Tribolium castaneum: one gene and its partner. Each later gene encodes a partner of the first gene's protein in a complex. Links are inferred from orthologs where the notes say so. Each region holds a gene or a part of one and is shown on either strand. Other genes may lie near its edges.

The links.
Region 2: Myb (region 1) and Dp share a complex: the UniProt entries of both Drosophila melanogaster proteins name them as parts of the DREAM complex. The link is inferred for Tribolium castaneum from reciprocal best matches to the Drosophila melanogaster genes Myb and Dp.

What each region holds. Positions count from the first base shown.
Region 1 is NC_087396.1:14,746,818-14,753,510, reverse strand, and holds the end of Myb (myb-related protein B), read right to left. Parts: intron 6,165-6,693; coding exon 5,715-6,164; intron 5,660-5,714; coding exon 5,341-5,659; intron 5,293-5,340; coding exon 5,138-5,292; intron 4,201-5,137; coding exon 4,006-4,200; intron 3,952-4,005; coding exon 3,667-3,951; intron 3,611-3,666; coding exon 3,452-3,610; intron 3,394-3,451; coding exon 3,280-3,393; intron 2,412-3,279; coding exon 2,313-2,411; intron 2,238-2,312; coding exon 2,118-2,237; 3' UTR 1,625-2,117; downstream 1-1,624. Other genes in the region: E3 ubiquitin-protein ligase Topors, read right to left, coding at 1,090-1,239. UniProt on the Drosophila melanogaster protein: DNA-binding protein that specifically recognizes the sequence 5'-YAAC[GT]G-3'. Component of the DREAM complex, a multiprotein complex that can both act as a transcription activator or repressor depending on the context.
Region 2 is NC_087398.1:7,906,292-7,913,307, reverse strand, and holds the start of Dp (transcription factor Dp-1), read right to left. Parts: upstream 3,832-7,016; 5' UTR 3,482-3,831; coding exon 3,433-3,481; exon of another isoform or gene 3,252-3,432; coding exon 3,136-3,251; exon of another isoform or gene 3,117-3,135; intron 1,269-3,116; exon of another isoform or gene 1,121-1,268; intron 645-1,120; coding exon 572-644; intron 523-571; coding exon 452-522; intron 402-451; coding exon 232-401; intron 177-231; coding exon 11-176; intron 1-10. Other genes in the region: Fsn (F-box/SPRY domain-containing protein 1), read left to right, coding at 5,401-5,982, 6,665-6,755, 6,802-6,896. UniProt on the Drosophila melanogaster protein: Component of the DREAM complex, a multiprotein complex that can both act as a transcription activator or repressor depending on the context. In follicle cells, the complex plays a central role in the site-specific DNA replication at the chorion loci.

The DNA.
Region 1 (6,693 bases):
GCAATTTCTTCGAGAAATTGTTTTACATTTTTCCACAATCATCTACACCATAAATAGCAATGAACACTGAAATCTTTTGTCTGTGTTTGAAGAAAATGCAATTCAAAGTGCTCCAAAAGTGCACCTTCAAACCAATGTATCTTTGTGGAAAATCCACGAAACTTCATAGTTTTCTTTATTTGGAAAACTAAAGTGATTCTCTACAACGCTCTGAACTCGGAATTCGCCAATTTTGAAGGATCCTATATCCATTTCCTTCAGATTTAAAGCTTGTCTGATAAGAACACTGTCACTTGTGGGGTGGAAGGAAAACATTATTTTAAATAAAATTTATTTATTAAGAACCTTTCTTATCAATCCCAGTCCAAGAAGTTACAACTTATTGAAAGAAGTTTATTAATTAAGTTACTATAATATTTAAGCTCCAATTTCATGGCAAAAAATTAAATAAACCTCTACGAAAAGTCCTATATTCGACAGTGTATAAAGTAGCAAAGAAACATAACGACGACCAGAACAAAGTTTTCAATTAGCAAGGGAATTCAATATTACATGAACGAAAAACTAACCAATGAACTGTTAAAAAATCAAATGTTTTTAATACTGGAACCACAAAATGTGCCTCCACCCTTTGCTATTTTAGGAAGCATCTTACTATATATTTTAAAGTTATGGTAGAAAAACTTGAGAACAGGGTCACTCCTTACGACTCTTTCTGTTCAAAATTTCCGTTCCCTGTTTTATTGCTCTTATCATTCCAACAACTTTTTTAAATCTCGACGTATTTAGTTAGTTAATTGGGTTTTCACGGGTTTTTAAGACTTCCGTATTACTTATCTGAACAAAAGGGTTTACATAGATATGGCAGTACATGAGGTCATCATTGCGGTTTAAGACTATGATCCTGATTATGATGACTTTTCAAAAACTATTAAAGGTTTTTCGTTCTTGCGAGCTGGAAATTTTTTGTACCTAAATAAATTATAATCTAGCTGTAGTACTTCTTATTTCAGTGCACCGGGCCATCAGCAAGTGAAAATACATGAACAATCGATGAAAATAATGTCGCAATCTTACAAATTTACTCACTCTAGACCATTCCAACAAACAACTGTAGCAAAATTCGTGCATGCAGGAATTGGCCCGACATTTGTTTTTGCACGTCCCCAAGCAGATAGCACAGTGTGGGGGCGGGCTAGCGGTGTCAGCACGGGGGCTTGCCAGTTTACTGTCTGCCATATCACTAAAACTCGATTTCACTGCAAATGCACTCCGGAGATGAATGAAGTCATGTTGATTTATCCACTAGTTCTGACCTTGCGAGTTTCGCGATTTTCCTACGATTAGACACACTATCCACTCACGCAACAACAATACTGCACCAAAAACGCTAATTTTAATGCTTTTTTAGCCTCCAAGTTGCTCTAATTTAAGAAAATACCACAAAAATCACTTCTAGGAACGTCTTGTGTACCGATCATGGAGTTGACATAAAACATCTGAAGCAGGGGTGCCAACGCAATCGGAAAACTACACCAGCTGCCACCTGGTGATTTTCCTGTTATGTAATACGGGGCACTTCCGAAAAGTTTAGTTCGGGGCGGAAAAAAACAACGATGCGGTGTATTCTTACAAAAGTACCAATTTTATTTAGTGACATAAAATTATAAAATAAATATAAATTCAGAAACACATTCTTTAAATAGATGCAAAAATTAAACTGAAGCATGCTTTATAAGCGAAACAACCCAAAGGACAACAAGAAAGAGACCTAGACCTACCATGGCAATAAAATTACAACTTCAACCTTTGGGCGTCCTTTCTAATAACTGTATATATTAAAAGATATAATTACGAAAACAATTATACAAGAAAAATGGTAGACTAGTTCTATACATGGTTTTTGTTCAGTAAGGTTTCATTTACTCAGTGAAAAGTCTATATACATTACACGTAGTTAAAAAGAAGTAAAGTGAAGCCGTAAACGAAACCTCACTCCGGTGATGCTTTATTGAATTTAGCCGACAAATCTACAATACAATCGTTTGCACTAAATTATTTGTAAAAAAGATTCTATTTACAAAGTGTAAACCGAATCGCATATGTACAAAATTTTCTTAAAAATTTAAAGAACGAGGTTTCAAGCTGGTAGTTCTTAAAAAATTGTGTGCTCGTTTAGTAAGGTCGATCTGGTCCTGCGTCTTGCCGCACGCAACCATGGCCCACATCTTCTCGATCTGGAAGAAAAACGGAACCTTACTATCAGGCGGCGCTTTGCGGACGTGGAGGGAGGGAAATGGGCGAGTGCTCACCTTTGGAGCTTTGGGCCTAGTATCCTCAAAAGTGATCCGCTTGGCGGCGGTGCTTCGTGGACCAGGGGCGCGGGAGGGGGCACTGGCAGATGGCAGGCGCTGCCGGGACAAGGATAAAAAAGCTACAATACCACCACACAAACGACCACATGCTGATTCCCCAAGCCTAGCATTAACACCCCCAAAGAGCCCCCGCGAAAGAGGAGCAACTTAATTTCTTAAAAACTAGGAGAAAATGCGTGGATTCTCTGTGCAACAACACTACTTACTTAAGTACTCAAGTGCTCTATCTACACAATATCTTAGTAATAATTAAAAACAACCGGGCGTGACTATTCTGGTAACGCTAAACTTTGTTCATTGTTGCATTTATGCTTCGCATTTTCTTCAAACCGTAATAACAACACAATTAACAATCAAAATAAATATTTAAAGACACAAATGTCATAATAATAAATCAGTTGCCTTGTTAAAGAACATTTCCGAGTCTCAGCCGACATAACCACGTGACCGAGGTTTAACCCCGTCGGTTGTGTCAGCGCGACCGGCCCCTGATAGTGTGACAATACTTGCGTTCTCTGTGCGATGGCAAAAGCTGACTGAAGAACAAAAAGAGGAATGGTAATCATGGACTTTGGTGACTTTATGCGCAACTTTTAAGTTGGCATAGACTAGAAGGTGAAGTGTAGGTACGACTCACGGTACATGCAAGATTGGTTTTGTCACTAGACTAAGAAATTTTCCAAACAAAATGTGGCCAATAAAAAATAAAAACAAGTAAATGTACAAAAAAAAAGAACTACAACCTAGACCTAAAAATCGAAGAAAAATAGAATTTCGAAGCGATTAATCCCAGACACATGTTAATAAGGGACCATGGGAACAGGTACAGGATTGTTAACTCAACAAAAAGGGGGCAGGATTAGGAGGGGAATAAATTATCTCCGAAATGAAACCATCCATGTACCTTGGATGATCCTGACTGAGCAAAATCCATCAGTCCGGTCACTCCCAAAGAGTCTTTCATTATCGAAGACGGCGTGGAGAACAGAGCTGAGGGATCGTCGCCCAACGATTTACTCTAAAACCAGACAATTAGTACAATGTCGAAAATTTGATTCGCAAAAATCGCAACTTACGGGAGTTTCCACAGCGAACGACGACATATCCTGCGACGAGGTGGAGGCCCAAGACGGCGCCAAAGCCTTCCGCACTCGCTTATTCGGAAGAACGTTTTCCTTGCCTTCAGCGAGCCCGTTCCCATTTTTTCTCTTCCCCGTCATGTAACCACTATCATTCTAAAAGTCAAGCACACATCAATAAAAAACACCACATTAAACTGTGACTAAATTACTGTAATCATCAGACTGGTGTCGGTTTCGTAATTCGAACTGATATCTTGGTCCTTCTTCATGATTTCCGTGATGTCTTCCAGACGAGTTGGCGTGTCTGGGAGGTGCGTTATAGGGCCGGACTTCTTCTCCAAGTCGGCTAAGGCCTTCTTGAAGGGCGTTGGGGTACGGGGCGTGTCCATACTTTGGAACGAGCGCTTGCTGGGTGTCACCGTTGGGTCGGTTGTGGAACTCAGCATTTCCACCTTGACTGAAAGACCGTTGGGGGTGCTCAAGGGACTGTAGTCCTATAAGAAAAAAATTAAATATTGTGGTCAGAAGACGAGTTGAATGTTTCGTACAGGTTTTAACGATCGATCTTTCAATGGTGTCGTCGGGAATCTCTTGACGGGCGTTGAGGATAAAGGCATCTCTAAAAAGCCAGGACTGTTGAAGAACTGTGAAGGGCTGAACGGCAACTGTTTTATCGGGGAGGTGCCATTGTTGTTGGTTGGTTTCGTGCTGTAGCCCAACATAGACGCAAATTCGTCGATGTTCTACAAAATAACAATGGACTGTAATCAACTGAATTATGCCCAAATATTAAAAACATGGCCATTAAAAGCGAGCTGCATATTTTATTTTTTCTACAACCCGTCATCATAAACAATTATTTAATTTTGAAATCAAAAAACCTCACAGCCACAACCAACTTTGATGACTTATAGACTCTCAAACTTCCCCTCCTCTGTTTTTTTTTTGCTCCAATGCAATTTGCATTTACCGTTTTTAATTTTCCAATCATTAATTCTGCCTTTATTAAAAAAGTTACAAAGTTTGCAAAGGTACGAATTGCTCATTATTTCGATAAAAGCTATCGATTGGTATAAAAAAAATTGGATTTGAGTGGTCATTAAATTTCCATAAGATGGAACCGTTCCCATTTTATTGCTTCTTTCAGAAAAAAAAGATTACACATCTCTTGCTCTTTTTTTATGCGACTGTGCCTTAATTTAATTATATCTCTGAATAAATTTACACAGTTTTTGTACTAGATATCACTACTTAAACCATCATATTCAAGTCAATTTATTGCCTTATTATAATAACTAACAAAAGAATGATGAAACATTTTTTTCATTTAACAAATAAAAAAACAGTTGTTAAATATCTAACTGATGATTTGTTTGTCGCTGGTGAAGCCAAAATAAAATTTCGTAAATGTGCGGTTTAAATCGTTTATTAGAAGGCACAGAGGTCTTATCTTCGAAAGTGGTATTTCGCACATAATTATCTAATTATTTTCAAATTATCATCGCTATCTATTTTACCTTCAATAGCACAGAGTTTTGCTTTATCAGATGCAATTGTTCAGTTTATAACTATTTCTCTTATTATTTTTAGTTTATGTTTTTGTGTTATGAAATAGATCTGGCCATTCAACGAATAACCATAATTAGCTAGAAATTGGGTTTGATGTCCTTTGATTCTTACCCGATCTTCAGCGCAGTCCGACATGATATCCTGGCCTTCACTCTCCCTTCTTCGCCTCGACTTGGCACCCCGTCGCAGGATGGGAGGAGTGGAGGCTCGGGTCATATTTTCAGCAGGTACTAAAGTGTTTTGGTTGAGGTTCGGCGGTGTCAGGCCTGCAAGCAAGCTAGAAATGACGTTTTTCTGACACTTGACCAACTTACGTGACTTGATAAAGTGGCGACTTTCGGAGAAATCCCTCAGTGGGTTTATTCCACTCGGGGTACAGTATTTCAGGTCAAAATCGTCAGTCATTGGTGTTAGTTTCACGGGACTAGTTTGGTTGTTGTACGTATTTACATCAAGGTAGCTGTATGATGGCAAATCTGCTTTAACTGAGGTCGTGGAGGGTGGAGGCGAGGAGGAAAAGCTGACGACCGTATGGCTGGGGGTCAGAGGACCTGGACTGGGGGTGGCCGTCAGAGAGAAACCGCCTGTGCTGGACTGGTTGCTTCCATGGTCGTACGTCTCCAAAGTCCATTCCTGCAATTAACATTAAAATAAAATAACCGGTCGTAACGCAATCCCGCGTGCTCACATCATTGATAATCAGATTATCCTGGTTGACACTGCGACTATCACAATTATCAATGGTCACAACTTGGTGGTTCTGGTACTGAAAGGCCAGAATGTCTGCTTGTTTTGTTTGGTTCTTTCTGGCTCTCCCACGGCGCGTCTCCCCGTCTTGGCGGTTCTCGGTCTCGTACCTCCGCCGCATGGTGGAGTTCCAGTGGTTTTTGATGGCATTGTCCGTCCTTCCGGGCAACAGTTTGGCGATTTTGGCCCACTGGTTGCCCAAAACCTTGTGCGCTTGGTAGATAATCGTGTCTTCGTTCTCCGTCCAAGCGCTCTTTTTTATTTTGGGGTTGAGGTGGTTGTGCCATCGCTCCCGACACTGTTTGCCGATACGGCCCTTCAGGTGACGCGCAATCAAGGTCCATTTCTTCGCTCCGTATTTATTCACCAATTCGATCACTTTTTCGTCTTCCTGGAAACACAGAAACAGAATTACAACTTCCGTTTTTTTTTCTTTAATTGATTACGTAACGTGTTCCCACAAAAGTCATAGTTCACAAAACACATATGGTGATGCTTTGAGGGTCAATTTGCGCCATTTAGGGCCATATGGTCGTAACGCATCGCCTGGTTTTCACGAAAACGTGTGAGAATGCCCCCAAAGTGGAGCAGAATTTATGAGAAAAATTTTGATTGCCATCGTTGGTAAAAAGGTTTGGATTACAATCAATTCTTTAGTCAAATAAAAGTGGTCAATTTGAACCCCCCACCCGTTGGGAACTCACAGCTGTGAAAAATAATGCTTTGGAAGCCTCATGTCCTGTATCAGATGGATGGAACTAGCGGTGAAATATTTGTTATGTGGCGATTCTTTTGTACTGGATCAAATTATAGTCAGGGGGAAAACACAATACTGTTACAATTAATGAAAGAAAGAGACAGGTATACGATTCGGCATTTCGTCCCTATAGGTATGAGGCAAGCTAACTGTCTTAAAAAAT
Region 2 (7,016 bases), on another chromosome or scaffold:
TGACTAGTACCTGATCCGCCAATGAGTTATTGCTGGATGCGCTCGTGAATTCCCCTACTAACTCATCTGCCACTTCATTGTACGTCGTTTTGCCTTTTTTCCTCACCTTTTCGCAAACTTTCATCGAGAAGTGGCGCAGGCCTTTGCCGACCTTTTCCGACTTTCTGCTTCGTTTTCTAACACAAAGCATAAAGAGAAAAAAATAATAAAAAAAAAAAACAGTAAACTTACGAATCGTGTACGAAATCTAGCTCAATCGGATCGGCCCTTTTTCTTTGCAGAATCGGCGGCGAATTGTTCTTGTTTTGGACTGTGTGTGTTTGTTGTACAATTGGTATTGCCGTTGCATTTTGGCTAAGTTGCAGTTTCTGGTTATTTTGCGTAACAAATTTTATACTTTGCTAAAAATATCAACTTGTTACAAATGCTCGCAAGACATTTAACTCTCTACCATTTGAGTCGGCGTTAAACGAAATGTTTTCGTTCCTTTCGGGATTCCACTGACCTGAAGCGTGCTACCTTCTAAAAAATTTAATAAAAATCGGTGAACCGCAAACTCTAATTAGCTTACTTGTTGTTACGAATTTTGGAGTCGTTGCTATTGTTCTTATGATTTGTTGCGACGAACCTGTAGTGCCATACACCTACAGGGAGAAGCAGTGTTTTAAACGTGTACATATTTTAATGGATAAACAATTAGGTGATGAAAGTGGGCGTCGATGTAGGAGGGTATAATAACAAAGCGATAATTGCAAGGAAGAGTGTGACGTTGGATTAAATTAAAAATATTGTAAACTGGATTAAAGGTGTGACAATCATCACGCGATCGTGTCCTTGGGAAGCCACAAATGACTTCTTCGAATTTTTTTGACACGATCTCTATCAGGATATTTTGTTGCTATTTCAACACAAAACCAATCAAATACCTAAAGCCTTATTTATAATTTCGCTCCGGTTTGTGGCAATTTGTGTTGTGGTGAGATTAAATACAACACATTTGTTATCTACATTAATCGTGGGTTGGCTTTATCTGTAAAAGCTTGAAAGCAATCAAGAAAATATTGCCAGTCTATCCACGAAAATACTTATTTACACTTTATGCGTTCGGCTTAAAAACAGACATGAACACTGTTATCTAGGGTTTTTTATACCTAGGAAAACCTTATCTGTTATCAAAGTCGTAAATTTATTGCTACCGAATTAGGATGAAAGGTGCAACAATGATCTTACTTAAAATAGCATATAAACAAGCGTAAATGTAAAAAAAAGTAAGTCCAAAGTTAAATTATATCCACTACCATCTAAATTATGTAAAAAATCCATACAGTAATCATTTACGTAAAAACACTAGAAACTGATGCAATGTGAAAACCTAATCGCACGAATGAATTCAACTAACCACCGGTTAAAAATATCTCGATATAATTTTTAAGCCTGTTTCGTTTATCGACGATAATGTATAAAAGTTGAGGTTGTTAAAAGTTATAAAGCTTGAAACTTTGAAACCGTTGCGTGCCTTCGTGGATGATGTATCGCAAAGATTAAGGACTGTAGTAACGCAAAAAGCCGTTATTTCGCAGTATGAAAGAACCTTTTGCCCTTTAACAAAAGGAATTAATTTTACGCGTTAAAGCAACTGAAGTCATAACGCGTTTTTACATCCAAGAATGGGCCAAAAAAGTTGTCACAAACAGGATTCCCAATTCAAGCAGAAATAACAAACACGACAGTAACTCCTGAAGCTTTTTATGTAAATAAATAATCAAACACGTGTGCCCCAAACATGGTCTTGGATTGTAATGTCCCAGCGATTTTGATTGGGAAAAATCGTGATCGCAGACTGGCAGTGTCTCAACTCAGGTTCAAGGATACCTCAACAGGTTAATGGGAAGATCAGATTTATGATAGGTATTATCTGCCATGTCGCACTAGTTCCATTAGGAATTTTATTGACGGGATATCAAAGAACAAACGTTTGTTAAGAACGTAGCAATCAATAGCGATGCTAATCTGATAGCGACAGATATGTATATTTTATGGGGCCACTATTAATTAAAAATTAATGCAATTGCCGATAGCCACGGTCAAGATAATTAGAAGTAGACGTTTTTTGTCCTGTGACTAGAATCATAATTATCTCCGCTGTTTTAATGAGCTCGTCTTCAATAAAGCAATTTGAATAATCATTATCGATAATAAAGTGAAACGTACTAAAAAACGGAAAAGTAGTTTTTAAGAACTCTTAAGTTATACATAAAATAAACTGGATGTGGAAAATGCGCAGACGCGTGGTAAATATTGAGCAAAACTTGAAAAACCATTCATCTTCAAAATAGCCGGGCGCGGTGGACAGTGGACACACTGTATAGTACAGTAACACTTCGTTAATCCGAAGGTGATTCGGACTACAAAAAAATTCGGATTACCAGTAGCAACATAGTAATTATGTTTACAATCAGAAGAAACGTGGAAGCTTTAGTAAGCACACAAGTATAAAAATAGTTAGTAGTGGAAATTAATAACTCCCTTGAAATAATAATGATGTAGATTAATCCAATTACAGGGACAGGACAAGAAAGTGTTTAAATCGACTAGTTTTGTTACTGGCGTTGATAACACTCGATAATTTATCTAATAATTATGATTTTTGTGTTAATCTAAAAACCTATTCGGACGAGAAAAGCTTCGGACTATTGAGATATTGCTGTACCTATTAAGAGAAAAAGGGGTGACTGAAGGTGGGGTCTGAGAACCGGTTTCCGACAAAACAATCTAAAATATTTAACTTACAAGAGGTAAAAAGCTCGGTTTTTCTTCAATGACGCAACCTTATGAGTTTAACTGCTTTTGTGATCCAATAAAATTCACGAAACCATTACAAATGCGTGGCGATACTGATCTACCTCCACACAAACACGCGATAATTATGGTCAAGATAAATTAGAAACAAAAACAGAAGTAGTCGAAAATAGGCAAAGACATGCAAGAAAGATGAAAGAGATGAATGAATTGTGCAATTACCCCGAGATAAAAATTCGATCAATCGTTCGAAAACTTAGGAATAGATGTAAACAAATCCGTCTTATCTTTAACGAACTACAAACAAATTAATTTAGGGGGGAACGAGTGGAATACCTGGAGCGGTTCCTGGCTGTTCGGCGATTTGAAAATCTTCATGGGCTGCCCTGCCACCGAGGTCACAATGCCACTTATGGGCTTTCCACTGGGCTGGACCACCTTAATCATCTGCCCTGTTACAGAAAAAACGAATAAAACACGTGCACTGAACCCGCTTTTCCTCCCACATCGAGGCGGTTTCCCCCGAAACTCGGTCCTTTCCCGCCCAGCCCCCCAACCGGCAACTGTTTGCCCCCGCACCACTTCGTTGTGGGCCCCCGTTTTGGAAAAACCCCCGAACCCTTTAAAAATTACCATTGGCTCCCTGGATCACCCAGTTGGTTGTGCTGTTCTGCTGGGTCATTTTCCCTCTCGTGCGAAACACTCACTCGCCGCCCCTTTAGCACATTTCCTCAAAAACGGGACACTGTCGAAAAAGCACCGGTTTTTAAATCCGAGCTCCTCTCCATCCAACTCCAACAAAAATGGCGACTGTAACTAGGCGATATTTTGGAATTGAAATAGGCGGACCCCGCGCACCACGAATTCGGTTTAAACAACTCGCGAAGTTTCCTCGAATATCGCAATTTGCTAATTTCGCGCTTTTTAACTGCTTGCTTGCGATACAACACTTGGGGGTGTTTTTGAAGATGAGCTATTTCGTGCAAGGAAAGCCACTACCAGCTTGGCGGCGGGTACAAAGGCATCGCTCCCATTGGCTGGATTCCTTCACGTGGGACACGCTGCTCCTAGTTCGGGCAAGCGGCACGAGGGAGCGATGCGTTCGAAATATTTTGGCGCCTTTTTGCCTTGCGGCCCCCGCACGGGGCGCACGAGGCCCTGACACCGGGCAAATGCCCCGGAAAAAACACCCAGGGATGCAGTTTCAATAATACGCGGCTGTCAGGAAAGGTGCACCCACCGAACAGGCCATCGACAGAAACGTGCAAGACAGAACCTTAAATTATTAGAAAGGCAGTATTCGCTAGGTGTCGCTACTGCAAAAATACTATTTTGCACTATAATGACGAAATAGTCAGTAAATACGGTAAACACAAATGTAAAAGAATAATTATAAAATACTATTTATTACCTGTTTCGAAACCATAAAAATGCCAACATCACATTTTCTCTCAAAATTTGTTGTAATGGGTCAATTCACGACGGTATGCGTGTGGATATGGTAAATGTAATGTAGTTTTTCGACCTGTTATCTTCTTATAGATCTTAATACTAATTGTTCATACTCTTCTGACTGAATTTTTAGTCATCATAGCATGAATAGCAAAGGAAAGAAGCTCATACCCACACGCAAACCGTTATGAATTGACCCCATCAATATTTTGTAATTTTTGTTTTTATTTTTTAAAGCAAAAACCAAAAAAATACACGTTTTTAAGTAGAATATTTTTTTGGGGATTTTTTTTTTAAATCCAAATCTGTCATTGCCTTTTTCAAGACGTTCTTGATGTTAGAGTTACGACACTCAACTTTAGCCATATTTGATACTTGCATTTTTTAAAAGTTTTTTTATTTCTGCTAACAATTCGATGTATCACATAATGATCAGCAATTTTCGTAAAAATGCTTTTTCTCCATTTTGATCAGCATGTAATATTTGATCATATTTTGTGATACATCGTTGAAATCAGAAATAAAAACGACAAACGGACACCCTGTATTTATAAATATGTTTATTGCTGATTGTTTTTTACAGCCGTAAAACTATTTTTTTGTATTCTTATATTGCATATGAAATATAGATTTGTCGAACATGTAACATATAAAGAACAGTTTATTGAAAAGCTAAAGCGGCTTCAGAGGAATAAAAGTGCCGAATCAATTTTAGTAGAAACGAAAATTTAAACATTTTAAAACAACAATGAAAATTGTTGCTAAATACAAAAATTATGTAAAAATAAATACATTTCTGAAAATGAAAATGTGTCCTGGGTGTCGATTCTAAACCAATACTTCGACTCGAAAAGTGTTTTGAATGCTTCTGTTTATGATTTTTTAGATTTGACTGATTCTGCCGATGTCTGTTTCTAGAGATGTCCTGTTCTGTCGCTAATTTTTTGTTGAACACCACCTCTATTATATACGTGAATTTTTCTAGATCAGTTCGCGTCCTCAATAAACCGCGTTATTGGACGTCGTGAATGCAAATTTCGCGTGTTTATAAATAATTTAAGCGGATTTTATTGAAATCGCAATCAGTCGGTTCGAGCGGTTGGTATCGCTGTCAAGTGTCAAGTGTCAGACGGGTTGGTCCGTTCAAAAATGGATGCCGCTGTAGCATCAACATTGCCCGATAATGTGTTGGAAGTAATTTTTTCATATTTGTCTCTGCATGATTTGAGGAACTGTTCTTTAGTGTGTAAGAGATGGTATAGTTTTTTAAATGATGAAAATAACGACGTTTGGAGGCTGCACTGTATTCGGAAACTAGCCGAAGAAGCACTAAAGTCAGATTTGTTGTCTTCAGTTCCTACGTATAAAGCGAAATTGCGGGCGTTTTACCACGCCTGGAATCCGAACGACTGCTCTAGAAATATTTATATTAAGCCTAATGGGTTCACGTTACACCGAAATCCCGTAGCTCAAAGCACGGACGCTTCGAGAGGTAAAATCGGATTTAGACATGGGAGACACGCTTGGGAGGTGATCTGGGAAGGGCCCTTGGGGACGGTCGCCGTCATAGGAATTGCCACAAAAGACGCACCTCTGCAGTGTCACGGTTACGTGGCCCTGCTGGGCTCGGACGACCAGAGTTGGGGCTGGAACTTAGTTGATAATCATTTACTGCACAATGGAGATGCTCAAGGCAATTACCCGCTACTTAACAATGCCCCTAAATATCAAGTAAGTTCGCTGGTCCACCTACAGTCTGTTCTTTATTTAAACGGAAATTACCAAGTCCAAGACTCTATATTATGTAATTTTTTTATTATTTATTTTGACTGGAAATGGCAAGTTCTTTTGCCAAAACTACACCTTTTTCAACTGTATTTTAGAAATACTCAGGTTTATTTCAGAAGATGTTATTGTAATTCATATTAGTAAAGTTAAAGTTTTGATATTTTGTAGACGTTATTTATAATCTAGGACGTATTTTAGGATAATATTTTTGATTATATGGAGTGTCCCCAAAAAGAATGAGGGCATAATATTTTTTTAATGGCAAGCTTTTTTTCGTGCTCTTTAGGATACCTTTTTACCTAGTTTTTTTAAATTAGTTTGGGGATTTCAAAAAATTAAAAAAAATGGTTTTCCACCTTTAGTTTTAAAAATTAATAAAAAATAGAAACAGTGCTTTTTTGCTAACATTATTAGTACGTACGTGTTGTATAAGTTCTATTTGTAAGTTCGACACTTTACTTCTCTTGGTTAAAATTTGAAATAAGATTAATCTTGCATAACAGAAAGTGACCAACTTTTTAATTTTTAAAACTTATAATTTTTTGACGCTATTTGTTGTTTTGCGGTTGGTTTTCCGTTTAAATAAAAAACAGACTTTAGTTTTTGTCTTAGTTGGGTTTTGCAGGTTGGGGAGCGAATTCGGGTGATTTTAGATTGTGATGACAACACGCTATCTTTTGAAAAAAACTACGAGTTTTTGGGAGTGGCCTTTAGAGGTAAAGCGCTTTTTGGAGCGAGATGGTGTTTCATGAGGTGTTTCAGGATTGCCAGATAAAAAATTGTATCCAACAGTTTCTGCCGTTTACGGAAACACTGAAGTTTCAATGGTGTATCTCGGACCACCTTTAGATGGCTAACACAGCTGGAAGTTGACGTTAGTCTGTTAATTAACTGAAAAAAGGGGTTGGATGCTTCAAGATGGCTCATTCAGGACAGCAGGTTTGCCCATGTGATAATTACATTTTACTTCAGTCAGT